7 linked regions of the Oryctolagus cuniculus genome follow. The protein of the gene in region 1 binds, or shares a complex with, the protein of each later gene. Links are inferred from orthologs where the notes say so. Each region holds a gene or a part of one and is shown in the gene's direction. Other genes may lie near its edges.

Region 1 (3,500 bases):
CGCATGGGAGACCAGGAGAAATACCTTGCTCCCGGCTTCAGATCAGTGCGGTGCGCCAGCCGCGCGGCCATTGGAGGGTGAACCAATGGTAAAGGAAGACCTTTCTCTCTGTCTCTCTCTCTCAGTGTCCACTCTGCCTGTCAAAAAAAAAAAAAATCTGGTTGCTTTGAAATTATCAAGTATGCATGGTATCCTTCCTGAAGAACCTATGCTCTAGATTTGGACACACTTGCTTTTAATTCTTCCTTTGTCACCTTGTGCAGGTTCCTTCACTTGCTCGCTCTCTCTCTCTCTCTCTCTCTCTCTCTCTCTCTTTTTTTTTTTTTTTTAAGATTTATTTATTTGAAAGGCAAAGTTAGAGAGAGAAAGAGATCTTGCATTTGCTGATTCACTCCCCAGGGCCAATCAGAAGCCAGGAGCTTCCTCTGCATCTCCCACATGGGTATAGACACCCAAGTACTTAGGCCAACCTCTGCTGCCTTCCCAGTTGTGTCAGCAAGGAGCTTGATTGGAAGCAGAACAGCATCACAGGTGGTGGCTGTACCCACTTTGCCACAGCACCAGCCCTGCAGGTTCCTTTCTTAGTGATAATGATGACAGTAAGAGTTAAATTACACGTAAAATACCTTATGAGGAGCTCCTCCACTGTAGCTATTGTTATTAGAGTGCTTGGGCTCAGTTGTAGATAGGAGGCAGAATGCTGCTTAATTTAGCTTTTATTGAGTCCTCTGTTTTTTCCTTTAATTAATGCCTCTGTGAAGTAAATTTTACTTAAGATTAAAAGAAAATGACAGGACCAGCATTGTGTCTGATGCCATATCCCATCTGAACACTGGTTTAAGTCCTACCTGCTGTACTTATGATCCAGCTCCCTGCTAATGTGCCTGGGGAACCAGTAGGAAATGGCCCAAGTGCGTGCCCCTGCTAACCATGTGGGAAACCAGGATGGAGTTCCTGGCTCCTGGCTTTGGCCTGGCCCAGTCTTAGCTGTTGCACCTAATTAAGGAATGAGCCAGTAGGTATAAGATCTCTTTTGTTCCCTATTTCACAAATAAATCTTTAAAAAAAAATGACAGGTTGACTTTATCTAGTAGACACTTCCTCATGGGTTTGAAAATACTTCTCTTTGATTTCTAGCAAATCGGCAGATTGAAATCCTGGAGCTGGAGGATCTGGAAAAAGAGTGCTCCTTGGCTCGAATCCGCCTCACTCTGGCCCAGCACGATCCATCGGCAATTGCCGTGGCAGGTAGGGACTGAGCAGGTATAGCCTCTGACTGTGGGTACCGTGGTGCCTTTCAGGACCAGGCAGTGGATACAGTGTGCTAGATGGGTATAAAGCACGGCATTTTTAGTCCAATTTGCATATGCCCGTGAGTGGACTAATAACCTTGTTCCCTTTCTGCAGGAAGCTCGTCAGCAGAGGAGATGGTGACTCTCTTGGTTCAGGCTGGCCTCTTTGACACTGCCATATCCCTCTGTCAGACTTTTAAGCTTCCCTTAACACCAGTCTTTGAGGGACTTGCTTTCAAGTATGTATAAAATTGTCTTTTTATTGTCTTAATTTTCTTTTATTGAAGATTGATTTTATTTAAAACTCAGAGAGAGAGATCTTTCATCCACTGGTTGTTCCTCAAGTGGCTTTAATGGCTGGAGGCTGGGCCAGGCCGCAGCCAGGAGCCTGTAACTCCATCTCTGTCCACCATGTGGGTGGCAGGGATCCAAATATTTGGACCATCTTCTGCCTTCCCAGGAGCATTAGCAAAAGCTGGATCAGAGAGGAGCAGCTGACACTCGAATCGGCACTCATGGGCTCCTGGCAGACCCCAAGCCAGTGGTTTATTAGTTGTTTGTGACTTAAAGAAAGTGTTTGGTTTAAGCTGTTCATTAATTTTTTTTAGTGGCTTATGATTTTACTTTTTTTAAAAAATATTTTGATCTTTAGCTTCATTTAAGAAATCAAAAGAGCAAACCTCATGGTTTAACTAATGAGGTCCATTTATGACAAGTTTATATAGACAAGTTGTGTGCTGTGTTCAGTCCAGTTAGACCCTCTGAATGTTATTAAAATTTTTTTCAAAGATTTATTTTATTTGAAAGGCAGAGTTACAGAGAGGGAGGGAAACAGAGAGCGTCTGTCCCCTGATTCACTTCCCAAATGGCCGCAATAGGCCATGCCAGAGCCAGGACCAGGAGCATCTTCTGGGTCTCCCACATGTGTGCAGGGGGGCCCAAGCACTTGGACCATCCTCCACTGCTTTTCCAGCACCCAAATAAAATGCCAGCATCACAGGTGGCAGCTTTACCCAGTCTTAAATGTTTCCTATTGACGTCATGTATGCCTACTATCAGTCAAATAGTTTGTGAATTGGAAATGTATTTAGACTTTCAGAATTTTCTACCATTAATTTTCTCTTGGAAGTAAATTGTCTCAAGTCTTGCTAATGGCTGATGGTTCATCAGGTTGTGTGGCTTTGAAGAAAGGGAAGAGCCAGTACTTCAGTAGTGAATTTGATGGTAGACTGGATCGAAAATTGTCATCTTATCACTCCAGTTTTAGTAGCAGAATAAGGTCATGGGTTTCAGCAGTTGGTTTACTGATATAAAGCCATTTTCATTGCAGATGCATCAAACTGCAGTTTGGAGGAGAAGCCGCACAGGCAGAAGCCTGGACCTGGCTAGCAGCCAATCAGCTGTCATCTGTCATCACTACTAAAGAATCCAGGTACAGCAGTGTGTTCATCTAGTTCTGGGAGGGTTCACCTGCCTCAAAACTGTAGCTTTTGCTTTTGCTTTTCTTTTTTTGTTTTCAGAATTTATTTGACAGAGTGGTAGAGATAGAGAGAGATCATCCATCTGGTGGTTCACTCCCCACCTGCCAGCAACAGCCCAGGGTGCAGCAGAAGCCTGGAATTCCATTTAGGTCTCCTATATGAGTGGCTAGAGCATCATCTGCTGCTTCCCAGGGTCTGCATTAGCAGAAAGCTGGATTGGAAATGGAGTAGCTGACACTAACCAGCATTGCCATGATGCCTGCCTCTGTAGCTTTTTTTTTTTTTTTTTTCCCTTAAGATTTATTTATTTATTTGAAAGTCAGAGTTGCACACAGAGAAGGAAAGGCAGAGAGAGAGAAGGGGGCCTTCCATTCACTGGTTCACTCCCCAGCTGGCTGCAATGGCTGGAGCTGCACTGATCCGAAGCCAGGAACTCCCTCTGGGTCTCTTCACATGGGTGCAGGGCCCAAGGACTTGAGCCACCTTCTACTGCTTTTCTCAGGCCATAGTAGAGAGCTGGATTGGAAGTGGTGCAGCTGGGAGTCGAAGCAGCATCCATATGGAGCACTGGCTCCGCTGTAGTTTTTCTTTGACTAAATTATCCTACACAGATTATTTTGCTCTTTTCTTTCTTTTAAATTATTTGTTTACCTGCAGTGCCACTTCCCATGTGGTCAATAGTTTGAGGCCCGGCTACTCCAGTTCCAATCCAGCTCCCTGCTGATGG
Region 2 (3,500 bases), about 210 Mb from region 1:
TGGTGCTCTGGCAACGTGCATGGAAGTGCATGTGGGGGAGTGTTACACTTCTTGAGATCTTGATGCCAGTAAGCATCCTCTCTAAGGTTCAGCTGTGTGTGTGTTCCTGCCTTCTCCTGACTGCATCAAAGCCCCCCCCCCTTTTAAGATTTATTTATTTATTTAAAAGTCTGAGTTATACAGAGAGGAGAGGCAGAGAGAGAAAATCTTGCAAAGTGTAGACCATGGGAGAGCAAGAATCTGGTTTCCACAATGTGTTTTCCTCCTAGGCCCAAGTTTTGGGAAAATTTGACATGCCCGCTGTTTGGAACCCTGTCTCCTCCCTCGGAGACGTCTGAGGTGAGCCGCAGTGGCGGGCGGGCGGTTGCTGCCAGTCTCTGGGCGGAAAGGTTGGGCTGGGCTGCAGTGCAGAAAGTGGTACCTGCCCCAGTTACACCGGAGCGTTTTCTTCACCAGAAGCTTCCTTCTCCGGGCAGGGCCTGCTTCCTTCCCCTTTGCTGTCTTGTTTTGGGAAGGTGGCCTGCCCTGTTCTGGGTGGATGGCTCCGGGCTTCTCCCCTGTCTTGGGGCCGTGTGGCCCTGATGCTCCTGCCTGTTCACATTCGATAGGGCGTGCACTTGCCTGTTCCCACGTCTTGGGGCCCTGCCCTCCTGCAGGGTGGGGGCCCCCGGGAAGAGGTTTCTGCGTGTGACTGCTGTCTGTTCTGCTCTCCCCTCCACAGCCCAGCGTCCTGGAGACCTGTGCCTTAATCATGAAGATAATTTGCTTGGAGATATACTATGTAGTTAAGTGAGTCCTCTCCCTGTGTGAGACTTTCAGTAAAGGTTGGGGGTGGGGGAGATGGTAGTGGCCTACCACTGGGTGCGTGGCTGTGAGCCAGGGCAGAGGAGAGAGTTGGTTTGGAGCCATTTATGGAGGGCCAGTGAGCCGTGTCCCTGGCCAGTCCACTGATGGCGTTTATAATTGTCAGAAAGAGTTATGGTGGCGCAAGCTCCATGTGACCGGGATTTCATGGCGGAGGAATCCTGGAAAGGCCTCAGCCTAACCCATTATGTTGAGCGAGAAGTGTGACCCCCACACCCTGGAGGTGATCCGGAGCCGTCTGCCTTTAAGCCCATGTGAGGTGGTTCTCCCTGCCTCAGCAAGGGTCTGTGCCCGTCAGATTCCCAGCTGCTGTCATGTCTTACCTGGGGGTTTTGTTTCTTCTTGACATCACAGGGGTTCCTTAGACCAGTCATTAAAAGATATACTCAAGAAGTTTGCCGGTGAGGAACGCTTTGCCTACTGGTCAGGGTACGTCAAGTCCTTGGCGGTTCACACGGCGGAGACGGAGGGCAGCGGCTGCACCTGCTTCCTGGAGTACCAGATGCTGGTGTCTGCCTGGCGGATGCTGCTCATCATCGCCACCAGTCACGTAAGCCTCCCCTCGGGCGAGTCTGCAGCTTGGGGTCTTAGCAGTGACTTGGTGAGATGCCTGCCAGATATGCCTTGAGATAAAGAACCAGGATTTTCCCTGAGAGCCAAAATGTTACTGATTTCTGTGTCCAGAGATTGGGCTTATCTGGGGTGTTTGAAGGGTGTTGGCTCCAACAAGAGATGTAATTTAAAATCCCGCGGACACCCACGACGGCCTCCTTAGCAACCTTTGGGCCTTGGACGTCTGAGGTGCACTCTCACTTCGCCTGCCACTCACGCAGCTGCCTGCTTGCCTTGCAATGTGTGCCCCGTAGCTACAAGACAGCATTGTTTTCATTGGTTTTGGCCACTGCACTTCCAGGTCTTTGAGAAGAACAGGGCCATGGTCTCAGCGCCACTGTGTGTCTGCTGAGAGTAGAAAAGAGAGAAAGCTATACCATTTGGGAAGAGTGTGCATTCTTGCTGGCATTTTGGGTGGTTTGCCACCATCGTGCTGGGTTGTAAGAACTTGGCGTCAACTGCTCTTCCTTGGGGGATCCAGTTCAATGTCTTGACTTTGCTAACAACTTCAGCTTGGTAGGTCCTCCGTGTTCCAGGCAGCTCTTCCTCCCCACCCCTCCACGCCCCAGAAATCTTTCATTTAAAAAATTCAAACTTCATGCTTTTCATAAATACAACTTTAGGGATATAGTGATTCCTCCCACCACACCCACCTTCCCACCCACACTCCCACCCCTCTTCCTCCTCTGTCCCCTATTTGCAGTCTTATTTTTTACTAAGATCCATTTTCAATTCAGTTAACTCAAAGTAAATAATTAACTCTAAGTAAAGAGTTCAACAAAGTTTATGAAAAACTCTTCTGCAGCAGTTGAGACAAGGGCTGTTCAAAGTCATTGCATCTCGAAGTGTTGATTTCACTTCTGTAGATAGATTACCTTTTAGGTGTTCTATTAGTTATCACAGATCAGGGAGAACATAGGGGATTTGTCCTTTAGGGGCTGGCTTATTTCACTAAGTATGATGTTTTCCAGTTTAATTCATTTTGTTGTAAACAATAGCATTTCTTTTTTTTTTTTTTTTAATTGCTGTTTAGAATTCCATGGTGTACATATCCCATAATTTATTTTATTTTATTTATTTATTTGACAGGTAGAGTTATAGACAGTGAGAGACAGACAGAGAGAAAGGTCTTCCATCCGATGGTTCACCCCCCAAATGGTCACAATGGCCAGAGCTGTGCTGATCTGAATCCAGGAGCCAGGTGCCTCTTCCTGGTCTCCCATGTGGGTGCAGGGGCCCAAGCACTTGGGTCATCCTCCACTGCCCTCCTGGGCCACAGCAGAGAGCTGGACAGGAAGAGGAGCAACTGGAACTACAACCCCGTGCCGTGCCCATAATTTCTTTATCCAGTCTTCAGTTGATGGACATTTAGGTTGATATTTTAGCTATAGTGCATTGAGCTGCAGTAAACATGTAACTCTTTCATATGCTGATTTCATTTCTCTTGGGTAAATTCCCAGGAGTGGGATGGCTGGGTCATATGGTAGATATGTATCCAGATTTCTGAGGTGTCTCCATACTGTCTTCCACAGTTGCTGTACCATTTTACATCCCCACCAACAGTGGATTGGGATACCTTTTCCTCACTTCCTCGCCAGCATTTGTTGTTTGTTACAGATTTCTGTATGAAAGCCATTCTAATGGGGTTGAGGTGAAACCTTACTGTGGTTTTGATTTGCATTTCCCTGATGGCTAGTGATCCTGAACATTTTTTCATGTCTCTGTTGGCCATTTGGATTTCTTCTTTTGAAAAATGCCTGCTTAAGTCCTTTGCCCATTTCTTCACTGGGTTGTTTGCTTTGTTGTTGTTGAAGTTCTTGGTTTCTTTATATGTTCTGGTTATTAATCCTTCATCAGTTGCATATTTTGCAAATATTTTCTCCCATTCTGTCGGTTGCCTCTTCACTTTTCTGAGTGCTTCTTCTGCAGTGCAGAGGCCTCTCAATTTAATGTCATCCCATTTGTCAGTTTCGACTTTGGTTGCCTGTGTCTCTGGAGTCTTTTCCAAGAACTCTTTGCCAATG
Region 3 (4,100 bases), on another chromosome or scaffold:
CCACTTCACCACAGTGCTGCCCCCCCGCCCCATTTCCTTTCTAGCTGTTGGCCAGAGGTCATCTCAACTTTTAGAAGCAGTCCATATCTGATTCTATAGATTTCCTGTGCAAATTATTTCTGTGAAATCCATTTTGCTATTATTATATCTTATAATCATTGTTCTCTCAAATGTGATGATCAGCTACTTACTGAATTCTTTTTATCAATTCCAATAGCTTCTTTGGTATTCTTGGATTTTCCAGGTGTTATATAATTCATACACAATGTTAATTTCATGTGGCACTTCTTCCCCTTGTTTTATTGCATCATTCATGAGAATTTCAAGGATAATATTGATAACCATTTTAATGGTTTCTGTGGCAGACTTGCTAATCCCATTTTATGTTTAGTAACAGATGGTATGACCTCATGTTTTATCAGGGAACATGGCATCCAAACTAGAGAGCTCTTCTCAGCCTCCCTTACAGCAAGCAAGTAGTGGCCATGTCACTAGTTTCCACGGCTTAAATGTGAAGAGAAGTGATGCGTGTGACTTCCCTATCATTCCCTTAACAGGGTATGGCACTGACGACATTTGACCTTAACAAGTAAAAACACATTTTCCCAAATTACTTGTCCACAGTGTCATTCTCTATGAAATGACCATAAGCATCTCACAAAACTCTAGTGTTCCGGGGATCAAGGTTGAGAAACCCTAATGTTCCATTCTAAGTGTGTTATTCAGCATGGTAAAAAAAAAAAAAAAAAAAAAAAAAAAAGCACTGTCCATACCTGCTTTATTAATATGTATCTTAGAATGAGTAAGGGATATTTTGTCCTTGAGATCATCTCGGTTATCTAGCATTATGATTATTTAATAGATTTATATGTTGAATTCTTCATAAACACACTCTATTTAATGATAGCGAACTGTGTCGTTAAGAGGACACCAAACGTTTTGCTAACATCTAGGACCCAAAGGAACATCAACTGCAGCCAGCCACTGGGGACACAATGAATGACGTGCATAAACTCGGTCGCAAGTGAGCCTGCGTAGGATGCTGAGGGTTGGGTTGGCCGCAAAAATTAAGCTCACGTCTCTGAGAGCACCTGCACCGGTCTCCTCCCCGCCATTCCCTACCTGGGAGCTGTCCACACGCCGGCCCGCAAAGGATTCGGGGAAAAAGCAGCTGGCCAATCTAAGGGGCCGGAGGGCACGGGAGAGGCGGGCACAAACGCTCCTTTGACTGACGCTAAAGCCATCCAATGAAAATAGGGCGTAGTGCCGAGCGGGGCACAACCTTAGCGGGTTTCGACCAATCCCGCTCAGAAGTGTCTGTCTTCTGGGCGGGGCTGGTGGTGGCAGCGGCCGTTCGCGTCTGTTGAACGGCTTGTGGGAGTCCTGCTGCTTCGGGCCAGGGCATAAAGTCTCTGAGAGGAACGTGTCTGTCCGGGGAGGAAAATGAGTTTAGCTCTGAGGTCGGTAGTCGTGAGGCGGCCGCGCTCCCCACGCCGCGGAGCGGGCCCCGGGCGTGCTCGCGTGCGTGTGTGGGTGTGGAAGGGAGGCCGTTGGGGCCGAGGTGAGGAGGGGGCTCGCCGGCCTGCCAGCCCCCAGCCCCCCGGGAGTGCAGAGCCCTGCAGGTGACCGGCCCGGCGCTCGCTGCCGAGGTGGTCGCCTGTGGCCGCGCACGGGGCTTTCGGCCTAGGGGGGTGGGCCGCGGGCGTGCGGTGCTGCGACCCCGCCCACCTGGCCCCCGCACCGCTGCCCACGGAGTCGCTCGCCCGTGTGCCCCCGGCCCCGCCGAATCGGAGACCCGCCCGGAGTCGGTGTCTTCTGTCCCGACCCTAGCCCTCGGTCTGTGCCCCACCCCACCCCCCGTGTCAGATAGCCTTGAAGGCAGGTGCTCAGAGACTGTGTTCCGCCACGGGTGGCCCTGGCTGCGGTCAGGTGTGGGCGGGGTCCGGACTTGCCCGCGGGCAGTCCGGGCAGGGGAATGGCTGACCCCGGCTGTGCCCAGGTGTGTGTCCACTCGGGTCTCTTGGGGAAGGTCTTCCTCAGCTCTGACGTACTGCACCTGCTGTCATTTGGTAGCCATCCCTATTGCCTTTTTTTCCCCCTTAAGATTTCAGAAACCAAAATAAGTTTTTTGTTTGTTTGTTTTTTTTTTTTTTTTAAAGATTTATTTATTTGAAAGGCAGAGTGAGTGACAGAAAGAGACAGGGAAAGAGATCTTGGATCCGCTGGTTCAGTCCTCAAAGGGCGTCCATGGTTGGGGTTGGCACAGGGGGGAGCCAGGAGCCCTGAACATGGCAGTTCACCTGAACATGCCACCCTCCTGGGTGGCAGGGGCTCAAGCTTTGGGGCCATCTTCCGCTGCCTTCCCGGGGAGCAGCTGGGACTCAGGGTTTGTGTTCCTTGGACCTGAGAGGCAGCCCTACCTGCTGGGCCACGATGCTGCCCGCCCCCCCCCATGGCTTTCACATGCAAATAAGATGATCTGTTATGAGACAATCAACTGGTTTTACATTTAGAATTTTTAAAACGTGTTCTTACAGAATTGGTGTTCTCATTTGAAACTCTGAAGCACTTCTACATCTGTCTCAGATGGAAGACATTCCTAACTTCCAAATAATTTTGCTTTTCATTTTCTTTACTCTTTTCCAGAGTTATGAGAAGTTTGACCTATAGTTTATAAGTTAAATGAGACAAGAATTTTCACATTTTTTGGAAGTAAGCACAAATGCTACATACCACTTTTTGATCTTTTAACATTCATGATATATTTAGACTCACTGCTTTGTTGGCTGACATGTTAATATTGATGGAAGAAACTACAAACAAAGTACCTAGATGTGATCCAAAATAGTTTTGAACTTACAATGCCAAAATATAGGTTAATTGATAAATTATTTGGCACTTTTTTGTAGTAATCTTGAAAACTTAATTACAAGAAATATACTGAAGTATAATAAATATTTATGTTGATTGTCAATTATGAATTCTACTTTGATTTGGATTTTTTTCCACTTTTGCAGAATGATATAAGTGTTGATTTGGTTTTGATTGAGGTTTTTGGTCTGAAAGTAATATTTCTGACCATTCTTTTTTTTTAAGGTTTTTTATTTATTTATTTGAGAGGTAGAATTATAGACAGTGAGAAGGAGAGACAAAGATCTTCCGTCTGTTGGTTCACTCCCCAGTGGCCGCAACGGCTGGAGCTGTGCTGATCTGAAGCCAGGAGTCTGGTGCTTCTTCCTGGTCTCCCATGTGGGTACAGGGGCCCAAGGACTTGGGCCATCTTTTACTGCTTTCCCAGGCCACAGCAGAGAGCTGGATTGGAAGAGGAGCAGCTGGGACTAGAACCAGTGCCCATAAGGGATGTTCGCACCACAGGTGGAGGATTAACCTACTGCGCCATAGTGCCAGCCTCCTCTGACCATTCTTGTTTCTGAGTTGGGAGGAGGGAAGGTTTGGTTCCCCCCCCCCCCCCTTTTTTTGAAACGTATATGAAAGAGTGACAGAGACAAAGTCAGAGAAATCTTCCATCTCTGAATGGCCGCTATGGCTGAGGCTGGGCCAGGCTGAAGCTAGTAGCCAAGAACTCCATTCAGGTCTCCCATTTGGGTGATTGAACCAACCACTTGAGCCATGCCATAGTTGTCTGCCTTCCCAGGTGCATTAGCAGAGAGCTGATTGGAAGTGAAGCAGCTGGGACCTGAACTGGCACTCATGTGCGATGCCAGTGTGGCAGGTGGTGGCTTAATCCATTGCATTGTGACAGTGGCCCTTGTTCCCCATTTCTGTCAGAGTTTCGGCTTCATACTGGGAAGTGTACATTCATAGAACTGTGGACTATGGAACAAGCAGGATGTCAACTCATACAGAAAAAATACTTTATCTTTCTTCAACATATTTCCTTTTTGGAAATTTAGAAAGTTGTTGATTGTTTAGTTTGCATAAGAGAATACGATTAGAGTGGACTAATGACTTTTTTGTTTCCATTTTATAGAAGTGAGCTTGTAGTAGACAAAACAAAGAGAAAAAAAAGAAGAGAGCTCTCTGAGGAACAGAAACAAGAAATTAAAGATGCCTTTGAACTTTTTGATACAGACAAAGAT
Region 4 (3,500 bases), on another chromosome or scaffold:
CTTGTATAGGAAGCACTTAAGAACTCTGTAGAGGATTTTAAGACCTATACTTGCAAATAAATGAAGAGAAAATTATCATTTCACAACCAGCAGTGTAGTAATTGTGTTGTTAGAGACCATCAGTGGAAACTAAAACCAACTAAAAGCTAAAGAAAGGAGCAGAATATTCACATGACTTCCCAAGAATTACCCAGCAGATGACTTATTCTTTACAAAGGAATAATACTAAATTACAATGGGAAATATGAGAGACAACTGCTGTTAACCAAATGGATCAGATCTAGTGTTACCAGTCGTGAAGGAAACAGCTTACTTGCCACCTCTCTTTGTGGGTCTCAGTGGGAAGTACCAGCATGAGCTGTGTAAGGCTATCAGCAACAAAGTGGAGCCTGAATCTGATCATGAGGAAATGACCCTACTTGTGGGACATTCTCCCTGTCACCTGGTCTGTATTTTTTTTTTTTTTTACAGGCAGAGTTAGACAGTGAGAGAGACAGAGAGAAAGGTCTTCCTTCCTTTGGTTCACCCCCCAAATGGCTGCTACAGCCGGCGTGCTATGCCGATCTGAAGCCAGGAGCCAGGTGCTTCCTCCTGGTCTCCCATGCGGGTACAGGGCCCAATGACTTGGGCCATCCTCCACTGCCTTCCTGGGCCACAGCAGAGAGCTGGACTGGAAGAGGAGCAACCGGGACAGAATCTGGCGTCCCAGCCGGGAGTAGAACCCAGGGTACCAGTGCCACAGGTGGAGGATTAGCCTAGTGAGCCACGGCACTGGCCTGGTCTGTGTGTGCAGTTAGAGGGGTGTGTTATTTTAAAAGATATCAGTATCTTGCAAGACAAAAAAAAGTGGTAGAATTATCTTACATTAAAGGAAATGAAAGGGGTGCCAAATGATTGTTGTGAATTCCTTTACTAGATCCTGGATTTTAAAAGATAACAAACTATAAAGGACCTTTTTAAGAAATTTTAGAGGACAGTTTTAGTGTTAGACTTCTTGATGTCAGTGATTTTGGAGTTATTTAAGAGAACATCCTAGTTCCTATGAGCTACATGATAAAGAATTTACAGATGAGTTAGCCCCTGCTTTCTAGAACATATCTTCAAATGATTCAGAAAAAGTATAAGCACATTTCTTGTGTGGATAGAAAGAGAGACGTGCACATAAATGTTACTAACAGTTGAAGCTCAGTAAAGGAATATATAAGTATTGGTTAAACTATCCTTTTAATTTTGCAGGTTTGAAATTTTTCAAAATGTAGAAGTGTAACAAGCATTAGGTTCTGAGCAGGAACAGTTCATCTGCACATCAGCCCTTACTGCACTTGAATTGTGCTCCTCTGGGGATTCTTTTGAGTGTCCACAGTGAGGCAAAGTCTTTACATTGATCTGCTGCCCACTGACTAAGCAGTGTAGTTTGTTTAATTAAGCATATGCAACTTTCTCTTTTGTGTTAGGTTTAAGTCCAGGGCCTGCCCTGTAGCGTTCAGAGCCCAGCGTCACAGATGCGGACATAGATGTGTGCAATAGATATTTTCAACCTCCTCATTGTTTGTTTTCCTTTTTGTGTTTTTCCAGTTACAAGAATTACACCCTTGTGACTGTCTTTGGAAATTTGCATCAGGCCCAGTTGGGTGGCGTGCCTGGAACTTACCAGTTGGTTCGGAGTTTCCTGAACATTAAACTTCCAGCTCCCTTGCCTGGACTTCAGGTATAGACACCATTCTCTGTGATATCAGTTATACCCAGAGCAGTTGCTCTCAGATTGCATTTTCAGTTAAAGGCAGGATATATAGGGAAACTGCCGTATGGAAAAGAGACCAAGGAAGGGGGGGTGGGGAGCTGAATGCCTCTTGGGCTGGTGGTAGTAAAGAGCCCAGATGAGTGGTGGTGGCTGCTCAGCCCGCGGTGAAGGAGCAGGGAGGTGGAAGGTATCCTCCAGTTCTAAATGTGTCAGGCAAGTTGAGCTGTGAGGACTTGCTGATGACCTTGGATGGGGCTATGAAGGCAGAGTCAGGGATGACTTCTGAGATTTTTACCAGAACAGCTGCAAGATTGGAGTTGGGTATGATTTTTAGGGCGTGTACCCTCTTCCCAGCTCACAATCCAGCTCACAATCCAGCTGAGGGAATTATCTTATCCAGGTATGAGACTAAGATAATTAGATAAAGGGAGGCTGGCTTCATAAAGCAGATGAGAGTCTTGCTTTTTTTTTTAAAAGATTTTTATTTATTTATTTGAGAGAATTAAAGACAGAGGAAGAGACAAAGAGAAAGGTCTTTGATCTGCTGGTTCACTCCCCAAATGGCCACAATGGGCAGAGCTGGGTCTATCCGAAGCCAGGAGCCAGGAGCTTCCTCTGAGTCTCCCACGTGGGTGCAGGGGCCCAAGCACATGGGCCATCGTCCAGTGCTTTCCCAAGCCATAGCAGAGAGCTGGACTGGAAGAGGAGCAGCCAGGACTAGAACCAGCGTCCATATTGGATGCCGGCACTGCAGGCAGAAGATTAACCTACTATGCCACAGCGCCAGCCTCAAGTCTCGCTTGCTTTTAAAAAATAAGTGTTCACCAGACTGCAGTCTAGGAAAGGGGAATTTCAGGAGGGGAAAACACCAGGAACAAAAACCTGGGAGCTGGAAAGAGGATCTGGAGTGTCAGTGTCAGGAGTATGAAGGCCTTGAATGCCAGGCTAAGCACTTCAGACTTCTCAGCTCAGAGGAGTTTGGGTGAGCAAGTGACATGATAAATTTGGGCTTTAGAAAGAGTCTGCCACAGAGCAAGGGCCAGGAAAGGATGTCTGTGGTTCACTATTCCGAATAGGAGTGGGGAGAGACAGAGACAGGCATGCATAGGTCTGCTGCACAGGCAGATGACCAGAGCAGACAGGAGAGTAGAACAGAGCTGCCTTTCAGATCCCTGGTGCCTGGCAGAGTCCGCAGTTGGCTCGTGGTGTAGTTAATATTATGTAAACTCAGGTATTACCATATGATAGTCTCTTCCTGGACACCTTTAGCCCTGACTTTGTAGGGGTTGTGGGAGTGCGTGTCTGTCAGTTACCACAGAACATGTCACCTGGGCACTGCAGACCACTGAGGTTCCCTGGGGAAGCCACAGGGCTGGCTGTGCAGCAAGTAAGGTATTTAGAGCTGAGCCGCTGCCACTTACCAGCTTACCTTGGACAAATGACCTAACCTCCCTGTGCCTCAGCTTCTTTGGACAGAGAGGAGGAGGAGGCTGTCAACAGTTCTTGCCTGGTGGGGTTGTGAAGGTTAGGTGACTTAGTACAGGGATAGGGGCTTAGTGGGTGTTGGTATGTCAAAAACAATCAGTTAGCTTCTGTTCATTTCTCTTGAATGTGTCTTTCCTCTTTCAGGACGGCGAAGTGGAAGGCCATCCTGTGTGGGCACTAATTTATTACTGCATGCGCTGTGGAGACCTGCTTGCCGCTTCACAAGTGGTTAATCGAGCGCAGCACCAGCTGGGAGAGTTTAAAACTTGGTTCC
Region 5 (4,030 bases), on another chromosome or scaffold:
CAGGCGTCCTGACTGCCAGGGAAAACGCCTGCCCTACTTTGAAAATGTTATCTGCTACTCAGTGTTTAGTGTCTTTTTGGAAACAGTAGGCAGCTTTGAACCCCTTAGGTCAGGGGTGGGGAACACTGGCCTGTGGGCCGTGTAAAGCCCCTAAGTCACTTGGTCTGGGCCTGCCGAGGGCACCGGGCGTAGGACTTGAAGTTCAATAGGTGTGTAGCAGGCACTTTTGAAAAAAAAAAGTATTTATTTATTTGAATGCAGAGACCCAGAGAGGAGGGAGAGAGAGAGAATGCATCTTCCATCTGTTGGTTCACTCCCCAAACGGCAGCAATGGGCAGGGGCTGGGTCACGCTGAAGCGGGGAGCCAGGAGCTCCAGCTGGGTCCCCGACGTGGGTGCAGGGGCCCAAGGACTTCCGCTGCTTTTAGCAGGGAGCTGGATGGGAAGTGGAGCAGCCGGGACTCGAACCCGCGCTCCCCGACAAGGACACACAGCTGGGCGCCAGGACAGACTCCCAGTTCCGGCAGGGACAGGCGCGTTCGGCCCAGGGGACGCCCTGCTACAGCCTTTCGGGCCAGATTCCTCCCGCGCTGAGCTGCTTCCTAAGACTTCCAAGTCGCGAGTTTGAGTTCGCCCAGGTGGCCGAGGGGGAGCGGAGCCCGGCGCCACCGTCCCTCCATGTGTCACTCCGAAAACACCTGCTGCAGGTCACTGGAGCCCCTCTCTCCTGCGCCAGGGGCGTCACGGACGCGCGCGCCGCTTCGCACAGAACCAGCATCAACAGGCGTCCACTCCTCGCGGCCGGTTTAGACGCCATCAATTAGGTCCGCGCGCCTCTCGCGCTCCGGAGAGGCAATGGCGGCGACAGCTTCCTAACGTACGCCCTTTGGATCGCCGGGGCTCGGAGACGCTGTTGTGCGGACGCCACGCAGCGCAGACGGGGGAGCCAGGGCCGCCACCGTGGGCACTGACCCCGGCCACCGCCCGGCGACACCCACCCGAGTCCGCGCGTGCGCAGGCGCACTGCCGTCCGCCCCGCGGTCTCTCCCGCCGTCTCCGGGGGCCTTCTCTCTGCCCGGCGCGGGGCTGTCCGCGGCGCTGCCTGACCGGGCGAGATCACGCCTGTGACTATAGGCTGCCCTCGCGCTGTCCTTCCCGGACGCTCTGCGGAGGCAGTGAAGGAGGGACGCATGGCGAGGGCGGCACAGGGGTGGGTCGTGGCTGAGAGGCGAGGCCTCGGCGGCGCCGCGGGGTTGGGCGGCAGGCGCAGCCGGGGGCGCCCGGGCGGGGTCCTCTCTCGCGGCAGGCTCCTGAGCGGGAGGCCCGAGCGGAGGAGCGTGTCGGCGGCGCGGCGCTATGGAGGAGCTGGATGGCGAGCCGACAGTCACTGTAAGGGAGCCCGGGACTGGCCTGCTTGCGCTCGCCGCCCCGGGACGGCGTCCGCTGGGTCATCTCAAGCTTGTCAGCGCGGCTCCCTGCCGGCCGCGCGGTGCCCAGCCCCTTCCTCGGCTCCGTTAGGAACTAGGGTGCAGCCGTGCTGTCGCCGTCCCACCCCTCTTTTTGTCTCCCTGACCCTACTGCCTTCGCATTTCCTCGTGGGCACGAGACTGGGCTCGGGCTGAGCAGAGGAGCTGGGGCTTCCCTGTTTGTCCTGAGTTTCTGCCTGCTAGTCAGTGCTAGCCCGAAGTTTAGTGAACGTATTTATTCTCTCGGGGACACTGTTTTTAACATCGCTGTGCGTTCAGTTCCGCTTGGACTCTCGAGTGTGTCAGGTGCGGATGATCGGCGGTAAAGCAGTTCCTGGGCTCTGCACAGGAGAAGCCCGCCGGTCTCGCGGCCCGCGATCTTTTCCCTTCCTTGACAAGAGTCAGCCCGTGACGGGCTCGCAGAGTTCCGCGTGTCTGGGTACCCTTCAGTTCCACTCATTTTCACGAAAGGTTCTGGACCTATCCGGAGCGGAGCGACAGAGAGAGAGAGAGGTGTTCCGTGGCTGCAGCAGCCGGGTTCGGGCCAGGCGCGAGCCCGGGGCCAGAGCTCCATGCTGCTGTCCCGGAAGGGTAGCAGGGGCCCGAGCGTGCGGGCTGCGCTGGGAGGAGCCCAGGTTGGAACCCGGTTCTCAGATGTGGGCTGCGGCCTCCCAGGTGGCGGTGAAACCCGCTGTGGCCCTGCAGAGCACCCTGATGAGGGCCCTGCGTCTCGTCTGGAGTCTGTGCGTGTGGTCTTGGAAGCAGGCAGACTCCTACCGTGCTTGCTTCGGGTCTTACGCGTCTTGCTCTACTGTGTGGTTAATTTTCGAGTGCGTGTGGAACACTTGCCCTTTGCCGGCCTGCTCATCCGTCAAGATTTGGCTAATCCGACTCTCTCCCGTGTGCCTGTACCTTTGGCTTCTGTCTGCCTGCTGTTTATTGCTCTTTTTTTGGTTTGTTTGAAGATTTATTGATTCACTTGAAAGTCAGGGTTACACAGAGAGAGAAGGAGAGGCAGAGAGAGAGAGAGAGGTCTTCCATCCGCTGGTTCACTCCCCAGTGGCTGCAACAGCTGGAGCTGCGCTGGTCTGAAGCCAGGAGCCAGGAGCTTCCTCCAGGTCTCCCACGTGGGTGCAGGGGCCCAAGGACTTGGGCCATCTTCCACTGCTCTCCCAGGGGACAGCAGGGAGCTGGGTCGGACGTGGAGCATCCGGGACTCGAACTGGCGCCCATGTGGGATGCTGGCACTGCAGGCAGCGGCTTTACCTGCTAGGCCACAGCGCCGCCCCCTATTGCTCTTCTTGTAAACTGCCCGCATTTGGAGGGGAGAGGCTTTTTCACGTTGTGTTCTTAGAGCCCAGCATTGCTTAGTTGTTCAGGGATTGCGTTAGGTCTTCCTGAGGCCCGAACTCGCTTGTCTTGAGACTAGGCCGTCGCTAGCCGAGTTCTGTGCGGCAGGGTCTCTGTAGGCAGTGCGTGAAGATCCTAAAGCCCCTGCCCTTGTGAGCGCCGTCTGTTTACAGGGCAAGTGATGGCCATGTGAGAGGATCACTCAGGGACTGAGAAGTGTCGTTCAGGGAGAGTTGCTGGTAGCCTCAGTTGGGCTGTAGACGTGGTGATCAGACTCGGGCTCCTGTCAGGGGCGGCCAGGACTTACCGCTGGGTCAGACACAGGTGGGAAGGCCGGAGCCGGAGCTGGGGTCACTCCTGCCGGCTGGAGACTGGGTGAGGTTTGGAGGTAAGGGTGAGGTTTGGAGGTAAGGGTGAGCCTCAGGGTTTCCCTCCTGGCTGCTGATCTGGGTTAGCTTGTAAGTCGATTTGTGAAGCCGAGGCGCAAAGGGCTTGGTCTGTTTCGGGGATAATTGTCTGGAGGCGCCAGCATAGCTGTGCGCAGGAGTAACGATTGGAAGTTCCTGTTCTTCAGAATCAGTTCAATTACTTAAAGATTTTAGGGGCTTGGGGCCAGTGCTGTGGCACAGTGGGTTAAGCCTCTGTCTGCAAGGCCAGCATCCCATTTGGGCACCAGTTCAAATCCTGGCTGCTCCACTTCTGATCCAGCTCCCTGCTGATGCACCTGGGAAAGCAGCAGAAGGTGGCTCAAGCATCTGGGCCCGTGCACCCACGCGGGAAAAAGCTCTTGGCTTTGGCTGTTGCAGCCATTTGGAGAGTGAACTAGTGGATGGATGATCTCTCTGTCTCTGTCTCTCCCTCTCTATCTGTAACTCTGACTTTTCTTTTCCTCTCCTCTCCTTTTTTTCTTTTTAAGAGTTACACAGAGAAAGGAGAGGCAGAGAGAGAGAGGGAGTTCTTCCATCCGATGGTTCACTCCCCAAATGGCCACAGCACCTGGAGCTGAGCCGATCCGAAGCCAGGAGCTTCTTCCAGGTCTCCCACTTGGGTGCAGGGGCCCAAGGACTTGGGCCATCTTCCACTGCTTTCCCAGGCCATGGTAGAGAGCTGGATCGGAAGTGGAGCAGCCAGGACTCGAACCAGTGCCCATGTGGGATGCCGGCGCTTCAGGGCATTAACCTGCTGCATCACAGCGCCAGCCCCAACTCTGACTTT
Region 6 (4,214 bases), on another chromosome or scaffold:
TTAAGAGACTAGATACAGGGGAGAGGGCAGGGAAAGTTAAACATGAACACAAAGTTTTGAACCCAGTTCACTGCTGTAAAGAGGAAGAGGGCAAAGAGTAGACACTCCTCTTAAGATGTGCTAGGATGCCTCAGGCCTTTTGAAGCCAGAGAAACCTCTGCTCTGTCCTCTGCCTCCCCAGATAACCGCCTCAATGCCGCATGAGTAGGTGCAGCTGAGACCCGTGGAGCTGTCTAAGGAGGGCAGACTCCAGTCCTTTTGCAGTTTCAAGTCAGCCCTTACCATTACTCATGCTCCCCTGGAGATCTTCTTCCACAATTCCCGTGACTTTGCTCACAAGGGTGTCTCGGCCTGGAGTTCTCCTCCCTGACTGCCTTGAGAGTCTGTGTCAAAAAGAGTGTATTTTGAGACAAGCATGAGGAGGAACCTCCTTCACGTCGTTCAACACCCATTGTCAAGGTCTCCGACTCACTGTACCGGGCTGCTCCTGGAACCTGCTGTATTCTCTCAAACAACCAGTCTACGTGCCAGATGTCAAACCCTCTGCGACGACACTCAGCACGCCCCTTCCCCTGTCAGGGTCTCAGCTATCCTGTGAGTAAGTACAGTCCCAGCTCCCACACGAAGGTCCTGGGATCTTCCTGATGCCCTTGTTCCTAACTCAGTCTTAGGCCAGACCAGAAAACCACTGCCACTCAGACCGCCCCGCCTAGTCCTTCGCTCGCCCGCCCTGCCCTGTCGCCGATACAAAGCGGCTTCCGAAGCCTACGTGGCGACTCTTACCCTTCGGTCCGTAAATGTCCCCCGGTTGATCTCAGCTAGCCCGCCGCCGACAAGGACCGAGCTCCAGCCTAGGAAGGCCACCCTTTTTTCCCCGCCTGTGTGAGCTGAGAATCAGCCGAGCTCCTTCTACCTAGCGGATTGGCCGGGCCTAGAGTCGGCTCAGCCAGTCGGAGCTCTCAGCGTGATGTTGTCCAATGAGAGCAGGTCTCACCCTCCCAGCGCACCGCCCCCCGCCTGGGCCCGGGCTTTGTGAGGTTAGCCCTACCCACTCCAGACGTAGACCAATGGGGAGCGCTGGAGGTGAGCCGGCAGCCAACAGGGAGCTGGGCCGCGCGCGCGGGGCGGTGGGAATGGCGCCGAGTCGGTGTGTACGTAGGTTGCCGTAACAACGGGCAGCGGAGTGCGTCGGCTATGGTGAGTGCTGGCTCCCCAGTCCGGCCTTGCACCCAGGGACTGAGTCCTTCTCAGGGCTGCGGCCCCGCCACACCACACTGACTCTCTTGCTCACCTTTAGTGCACTGATCCTTCCTTTGAGCTCTTTCCCGGAAGGGTAGACACGCCAGCCACCCCGCTGGGCCTGCGCTTCGCCCTAGCCTCCCCGTCATGCACAGCGGGCCCTTACCCGTCCCTCGGGTCCCCCTGGCTTTCTCTACCCGCCTCGGGGACTTCCTAGGCAAAGAAGAGGGCCCAACCCCTCTCAGATCCTGGCCCTTTCAGATCTTGGCCTCCTCTCTCTGCCAAACTTCCCCCACCTGGGAGGAGCTTTGTTATGTTCTGATTGTTAACTTGTATTTTACAATTTAAATATGGGCATTCCGGAGATGCTTTGAGCATCTTGGGGAGGGCATGAAGGTGCCAAATAGATTGTTTTACTATTTGATATGGACAGAACACTTATCTAAACAACTTAATAATCTTTGGCCAAATCCAGAAGTAATCGGAAAGTCAGAGTACCTCTTGGGAAGCCTAGTACCGCGAGGGGTTGTTTTTGGAGCCAGGATCCCCGCGTTCAGGGAGGGCAGTACTCACTTCGAGTTATCTACAGTCACTTCCTTAGCTAACTGCCTCGGAGTGATGTATCCGAAGAACAAGGGATCTCTTTGCTTCTAACAAATACTACTAAAGAAAAGGGAGGGAGAGCGCTTCACGGGAAGTTTCATTCTTTCCAATAAACCCCATTATCTCTTGTTGAGCAGAAATTGGGAATTGGTTGGTATAAATTAGTTTTAAAAGAGATAGCAGTGTCTGTAACTATGGACTGTATTACATAATAGTGTGCTCATGTGTTCGTATAATTTCTACAGGCCTCTAACTTTAAGAAGGGAAACATAACATCTAGTTCCCAGCGGAAAAGGATGAGTCCTAAGCCTGAGCTTACTGAAGAGCAGAAACAAGAAATCAGGGAAGCTTTTGATCTCTTTGATGCTGATGGAACTGGGACCATAGATGTTAAAGAACTTAAGGTAAGCCCTGCACGTTCTTGCTATACTACCTCTGCTTCTTCCTTACCCTTTCTCTGTCACAACTCTACCCCTTTTGCCCTCTCCTTCCTGTAAAAACTAACAGGGCTGGGATTTTTGTGCTCTCTTTTCCTGTCTTTTATTATGCCAAGTGTTACTAAATAAAATTGACAACAAAGGTCAGTTACATCAATGTTTATTCTGTAGTCATTTTACCATTATTATGGTAGATGTTGGCTTAATATTCTCAACACTTATATTTGCTCCTGCTAGATTCAGATATGCATATTGAGACATTCCTGTTTCCTTACAGGTGGCAATGAGAGCCCTGGGGTTTGAACCCAAGAAAGAAGAAATCAAGAAAATGATAAGTGAAATTGATAAGGAAGGCACTGGAAAAATGAACTTTAGTGACTTTTTGACTGTGATGACTCAGAAAATGGTAAGTTAGCTGAGATAACCATTAGCATGTTTTTTACTCATAGTGATAGATAATGTCTATCTATCTAGAGTAAATGCAAAAATAATTTTAAAATAGTGATAAAGTCTATCTATCTAGTCTAGATGTGAAAATGACCTAATTGGAGAAAAATTGACAAAGATTGGAGAATTCATCTGATAAAAGATAGTATTTTTGACTGAGAATTAGCCTAAATTCTCTTTGGCTTTCTTCAAGGTCACAAACTAATGAAGTCATTTCACCCTTTGTAAAGTAGCAAAAGTGTCATTTTTCACTGTTTTTCCAACTGATATATCTGTGATAAACCCAAATAGAAAAACTGTAGACACCATTCATTTTTAAATGCAAGGTGGAGGGTTAGGGAATGAATCTAAGAAGTTGATTCCCCTGGAAGTCCCTCCTTGGCATTTGAACTAGAGCAAACTCTGAACAGGAGAACACAGCAAAATACCAGGGCTTAGCATGCCAATGTGCAGTGTCAGGTTCACTAGGTGTCTCAGCAGCTGCCTCTAATTCTGTTCTTTGTCTTCTTGGCTTGTATTGTTGTAAATGGGGGGGGGGGGAATGGGCAGTGGTGGGGCTATGGAACACGGGTAACCATGGTGTTTTCCTGATAATGCATTTTATGTTCTACTTGTTAAGTCTGAGAAAGATACCAAAGAAGAAATTCTGAAAGCTTTCAAGCTCTTCGATGATGATGAAACTGGAAAGATATCATTCAAAAATCTGAAACGCGTGGCCAAGGAGTTGGGCGAGAACCTGACAGATGAGGAGCTACAGGTTTGTCATGTGTGAGGCTGGAACGGTGAATTCCCACCGTTGAGCCCTCTGAGACTTCTCTGCTTTTGATTTTTCCCTGGTGGGAAAACCTCTTTGAATGAAAGATACTGTTCTTTGGCCCCTTTGCTAACAACGTAACTTTCCTTTGATAGTCTGACAATCCTATGACCCTGCTTCCAGAAAAATGCATGTGTGTACAGTTTTATTTACTGTTTTAGGTTTTGGGAGTCCTTCTGGTCAAGTCCTTCGAACTTCCTTCCAGGTGACATGTATGACAAAATATGACTTGGTTTTCCAATGACTCTTCAAGAGCCAAGTTATTATAATGTATCGAGTAGACTACAATTGTCTATTCAAATAGCAATGTTAAAGCCTATGATGTAGTCACCTTTTTGTTTATTTTATGAATTAATGTTCTCTGAATCTTTACTGTCATGCAGGAAATGATTGATGAAGCTGATCGAGATGGAGATGGAGAAGTCAATGAGCAAGAGTTCCTGCGCATCATGAAAAAGACCAGCCTTTACTAAGATCCATGTCGTCTTTTCTACTGCAAGCACACCTAACTAGATTTAGTGCCTGCCATTGTGTAAAATCTGGCTTTTGAGAACACAAACTATTTTCTCCTGCACTGACCTCCCTACATAATTTTAGTTATGGCCTCTAATCTATTTCAGACTTTTAAAGTGTTCTTTGATACTCAATCTCTTTGTAAAATGACCTGCTGATTA
Region 7 (3,500 bases), on another chromosome or scaffold:
CCTCCATCTTTTTGGAAAAAAAAAAAAAAAAAAAATATATATATATATATATATATATACATATTTATTTATTTATTTGAAAAGCAGAGTGACAAAGACAGTGGGAGAGACAGAGAGATTGTCCATCCACTGGATAAGTTCCCAAATGCCCAGAATAGCCAGGATTGCCAGCCTGAAGTCAGGAGTCGGGAACTCCATCCAGGTCTCCCACATGGGTGGCAGGAACCCAAGGCCTTGGGCCATTATCTGCAGCCTCCCAGGCGTGTTCCCAGGGAACTGGATCAAAAGCGTGGAGTGGCTATGACTCTGATGTGAGATGCTGGCATCTCAAGCTGCACCAACGATACCTGCCCTCATCTGTTTTTAACTGCTGAAGAAAACTGGTTCTCCCATCCTTTATAGTACTTACGAAGTAGGGCTTAATTTTATCTGCTAATATTAGCTTAATTTTACAAAATGTAATCCTTACTAACTTTTTTAAAAGCATGGAGTAATACAAAGAAGAAAACATTAAAAATCCATAAATTCCTTAACATAATAACCCCTGTTGGCTATCTTTTAAAAGTAAAATACACAGAAGTAATGTTTTTAAAATGTGGTTGAACCTTATTCATTTTTAAAGCATTTGTTCACTCAGTGACAATAGCTCCATCACTTTTCTGCATCTTTTTCCTTCCAAGATAACCAATCTGGATGACAGTAACTGGGCGGCTGCGTTCTCATCCCAGCGCTTAGGGCTGTACACAGGTGTAGACGCCCACAGTGTCACAGAGGACGTGAATCTCAGCGCGGTCATGCTACGTGAGGATGATCCTGGCGAGGCTGGTAAAGTGGCTTGGAGCCTTGCGATAAAGCGGTTCTTCTCCTGACTAATGTCACGATGTTTTCTTCTCCTGTTCCTGAATGTCATGGTTTTATTTTTTCCTTTAAAGGGAGGGATGGCTTTAAAAAACCAGAAATTTATTTTCTTGGAATTCTGGAGGCTAGAAATCCAATGTACAGATATCTGCAGGGTTGGTTTTTTCTAAGGCCTCTTCCTCTTTCCTTCCATGGGAGGACAATTCCTATCAGGAAAGTCTTTGCTGGGTCTTCCCTCTGTCTGTATATTTGTCATTGTGTGAATTGCTTTTGCTCTTGGCTGTCTCTGGAAGTGTGAGAACCTGAGAAGCCCTCCTGGGTTGTCAGCAGCGTCTTGCCATTGTATCTGTTAGCATAAACAGCAGCCTTTGGATCATTGCAGGTCTCCTATTTGTATTCTTATTTGTGCCACCAAAAGAACTTAGGCTTAGCTGTAATCTAACACTGCTGATGTGTTGAGCTTTAACCTGGACAGCAGTGCTGCTTTTTCAGAAAGTATTGTAACTTTGCTAGTTTTAGGTTTGTTACTAACGTTTCCTTTTGTACAAGACCATTTGCTTTTAGTGTCTGTGTACCTACATACCATGTTCTTGAGTTTATCATCATCATCAGCTACCTTATGGATGTTAATTGTGTGGTTATCACTCTCCGAATATGAACTCCTGGAATCCTTACCAAGATCCATTACATAGTTAGAATGATTGTTCTCATTTTAGAGGAAAGGAAACCACTGCTCAGATTGGCTAACTGGCTTGCAGAAAATCGCCCAGCTAGGAAGTAGTGGCACCAGGATTTGAAACTAAACAGTTTGATTCCAGAGCCTTGCCCTTAACACCATGGTAACCACCACTTTCTTGCAGTGTCTGCAGTAATACATACTTGAATCTTGGGTTCCCCAAAAATACTTCCTACTTATTCTGTAAAATACAAGAATTCAATTTTAGGATGAGAACTCAAATATTAGTAGAGCAAATGCATTTTCCCTTACCTGAACAGAGCATTGAGTAGCTACTGTAATTCTTAGCCATTTTGTTATGCTGTGCTTAAAATGTAATTCAGATGCTTTAAAATGTGGCCCAATTTTTAAAATTGTTGACAAAATAGGAAACATTAATGACTACTGTATCTTTGGGATCTTACAAAACTAATAGGTTACAAATGAAAAAATAGATAAGTTGGACTATGCCAAAATCTTAAATTTCTATGCCTCAAAGAATCTAATCAACAGAGTGAAAAGGCAGCCTGTGGAATAGTGGGAAATATTTGCAAATTAGCTGAAAGGGGGCTTAAATCCAAAAAATAAAAAAAAAACAACTCCTGTAACTGCTGTAACTCATAAAATGGGCAAAAATTTTGAATAGATGTTTCTCTAAAGATTTTCAAATAGCTAGTAAGCACGTGAAAAGGTGAAATCACTTATCTTTAGAGAAATGTAGATCAAAACTAATATGAGATGCCACCTTACACCATTAGGAGGTCTATAAAAAATGGAGAAAATGACAAATTTGAAAATGATGTGGAGAAATTGAAACCCTTGTATACTATTAGTGGGAATGTAAAATGGTGCAGCCACTTTGGAAAATAGTAAAGCAGTTACTCAAGAAACTGAACGAGGAATTACCTTATGATCCAATAGTTCTGCCTATGCATATATACCCAAAGGATGTGAAAGCAAGATTTCAAAGAGATATTTAAATATTCATGTTCATAGTAGCCAAAAAGTGGAAGCAGCTGAGTGTCCATCCATTGTGTGCTATTTACATAAAATGTAGTAGTAGTATTTAGCCAAAAAGGAAGGACATTCTGACACCTGCTAACATGGATAAACCTTGAGACATTGCTAAATGAAATAAGCAAGTCAAAATAGGACAGACTAGATCATATAGATCTCCCTTATATGAGATACTTTGATAGAGACAGAAAGTGGAATGGTGGTTGCGAGGGACTGGGGATAGTGAGGAATTGGCAGTTATTGCTGAATGGGTAGAGTTGTAGTTTTGCAAGGTAAGAATGAGTGTTGTGGAGTGAAGTTGGTGATAGTAGCACAACATTGTGGATGTGCTTAGTGTCACTGAACTGTGTACACTTAAAAATAGTTACAATGGTAAATTTTCTTTCTTTACAGTGGTAAATTCTTTTTAAAAACTATGTTTTTAATTTTTCAATCAAAATTACCTAAAAGTATGTCCTATAACTTTTCTTTTTTCCTTTTCTTTTTAATGTATTTTAGCATCCATGAGTATGTTTTCTGATTTCCTGCAGTCTTTTTTGAAGCACTCTTCAACTACAGTTTTTGACCTTGTGGAAGAGTACGAAAACATTTGTGTTAGTCAGGTGAGCTGATTTCACCCTGTCATCAAACTCTAGTACTTTTAGTTTGCTAAACAGCATTAACCTGCTAATATCTATTGTGTACTGAAAGGGGATGTCTAGGAATTTAGTGGCAAAAATAGCGGAGAGTGCAGCCAGACCAAATTTTTTAAAAAAGAATCTTATATTTATTTGAAAGGCAGAGTGAGAGAGACAGAGAGAGAGATTTTTCCACCCAAATGGCTGCAATGGCCAGGGCTGGGTTATATGGAAGTCAGGAGCCTGGAATTTCATATGGGTATCCCACGTGGGTGACAGGTGCCCACTGCTGT

Evidence for each region.
Region 2: NUP160 (region 1) and NUP188 share a complex: the UniProt entries of both Homo sapiens proteins name them as parts of the nuclear pore complex. The link is inferred for Oryctolagus cuniculus from reciprocal best matches to the Homo sapiens genes NUP160 and NUP188.
Region 3: NUP160 (region 1) and CETN3 share a complex: the UniProt entries of both Homo sapiens proteins name them as parts of the nuclear pore complex. The link is inferred for Oryctolagus cuniculus from reciprocal best matches to the Homo sapiens genes NUP160 and CETN3.
Region 4: NUP160 (region 1) and NUP93 share a complex: the UniProt entries of both Homo sapiens proteins name them as parts of the nuclear pore complex. The link is inferred for Oryctolagus cuniculus from reciprocal best matches to the Homo sapiens genes NUP160 and NUP93.
Region 5: NUP160 (region 1) and NUP85 share a complex: the UniProt entries of both Homo sapiens proteins name them as parts of the nuclear pore complex. The link is inferred for Oryctolagus cuniculus from reciprocal best matches to the Homo sapiens genes NUP160 and NUP85.
Region 6: NUP160 (region 1) and CETN2 share a complex: the UniProt entries of both Homo sapiens proteins name them as parts of the nuclear pore complex. The link is inferred for Oryctolagus cuniculus from reciprocal best matches to the Homo sapiens genes NUP160 and CETN2.
Region 7: NUP160 (region 1) and NUP107 share a complex: the UniProt entries of both Homo sapiens proteins name them as parts of the nuclear pore complex. The link is inferred for Oryctolagus cuniculus from reciprocal best matches to the Homo sapiens genes NUP160 and NUP107.

Annotation. Positions count from the first base shown.
Region 1 is NC_091432.1:18,219,428-18,222,927, forward strand, and holds part of NUP160 (nuclear pore complex protein Nup160), read left to right. Parts: intron 1-1,137; coding exon 1,138-1,248; intron 1,249-1,407; coding exon 1,408-1,531; intron 1,532-2,622; coding exon 2,623-2,724; intron 2,725-3,500. UniProt on the Homo sapiens protein: Functions as a component of the nuclear pore complex (NPC). Involved in poly(A)+ RNA transport.
Region 2 is NC_091432.1:232,157,719-232,161,218, forward strand, and holds part of NUP188 (nucleoporin NUP188), read left to right. Parts: intron 1-269; coding exon 270-339; intron 340-721; coding exon 722-789; intron 790-1,218; coding exon 1,219-1,414; intron 1,415-3,500. UniProt on the Homo sapiens protein: Component of the nuclear pore complex (NPC), a complex required for the trafficking across the nuclear envelope. Required for proper protein transport into the nucleus.
Region 3 is NC_091445.1:13,137,649-13,141,748, reverse strand, and holds the start of CETN3 (centrin-3), read left to right. Parts: upstream 1-1,300; 5' UTR 1,301-1,443; coding exon 1,444-1,460; intron 1,461-3,991; coding exon 3,992-4,100. UniProt on the Homo sapiens protein: Plays a fundamental role in microtubule-organizing center structure and function. As a component of the TREX-2 complex, involved in the export of mRNAs to the cytoplasm through the nuclear pores.
Region 4 is NC_091449.1:40,502,587-40,506,086, forward strand, and holds part of NUP93 (nuclear pore complex protein Nup93), read left to right. Parts: intron 1-1,575; coding exon 1,576-1,708; intron 1,709-3,370; coding exon 3,371-3,500. UniProt on the Homo sapiens protein: Plays a role in the nuclear pore complex (NPC) assembly and/or maintenance. May anchor nucleoporins, but not NUP153 and TPR, to the NPC. During renal development, regulates podocyte migration and proliferation through SMAD4 signaling.
Region 5 is NC_091448.1:5,331,375-5,335,404, reverse strand, and holds the start of NUP85 (nuclear pore complex protein Nup85), read left to right. Parts: upstream 1-1,230; 5' UTR 1,231-1,355; coding exon 1,356-1,388; exon of another isoform or gene 1,389-1,771; intron 1,772-4,030. UniProt on the Homo sapiens protein: Essential component of the nuclear pore complex (NPC) that seems to be required for NPC assembly and maintenance. As part of the NPC Nup107-160 subcomplex plays a role in RNA export and in tethering NUP96/Nup98 and NUP153 to the nucleus.
Region 6 is NC_091453.1:131,267,398-131,271,611, reverse strand, and holds the start of CETN2 (centrin-2), read left to right. Parts: upstream 1-1,414; 5' UTR 1,415-1,629; coding exon 1,630-1,635; exon of another isoform or gene 1,636-1,992; intron 1,993-2,087; coding exon 2,088-2,246; intron 2,247-2,556; coding exon 2,557-2,685; intron 2,686-3,345; coding exon 3,346-3,483; intron 3,484-3,923; coding exon 3,924-4,013; 3' UTR 4,014-4,214. UniProt on the Homo sapiens protein: Plays a fundamental role in microtubule organizing center structure and function. Required for centriole duplication and correct spindle formation. Has a role in regulating cytokinesis and genome stability via cooperation with CALM1 and CCP110.
Region 7 is NC_091442.1:71,074,031-71,077,530, forward strand, and holds part of NUP107 (nuclear pore complex protein Nup107), read left to right. Parts: intron 1-680; coding exon 681-825; intron 826-3,088; coding exon 3,089-3,192; intron 3,193-3,500. UniProt on the Homo sapiens protein: Plays a role in the nuclear pore complex (NPC) assembly and/or maintenance. Required for the assembly of peripheral proteins into the NPC. May anchor NUP62 to the NPC. Involved in nephrogenesis.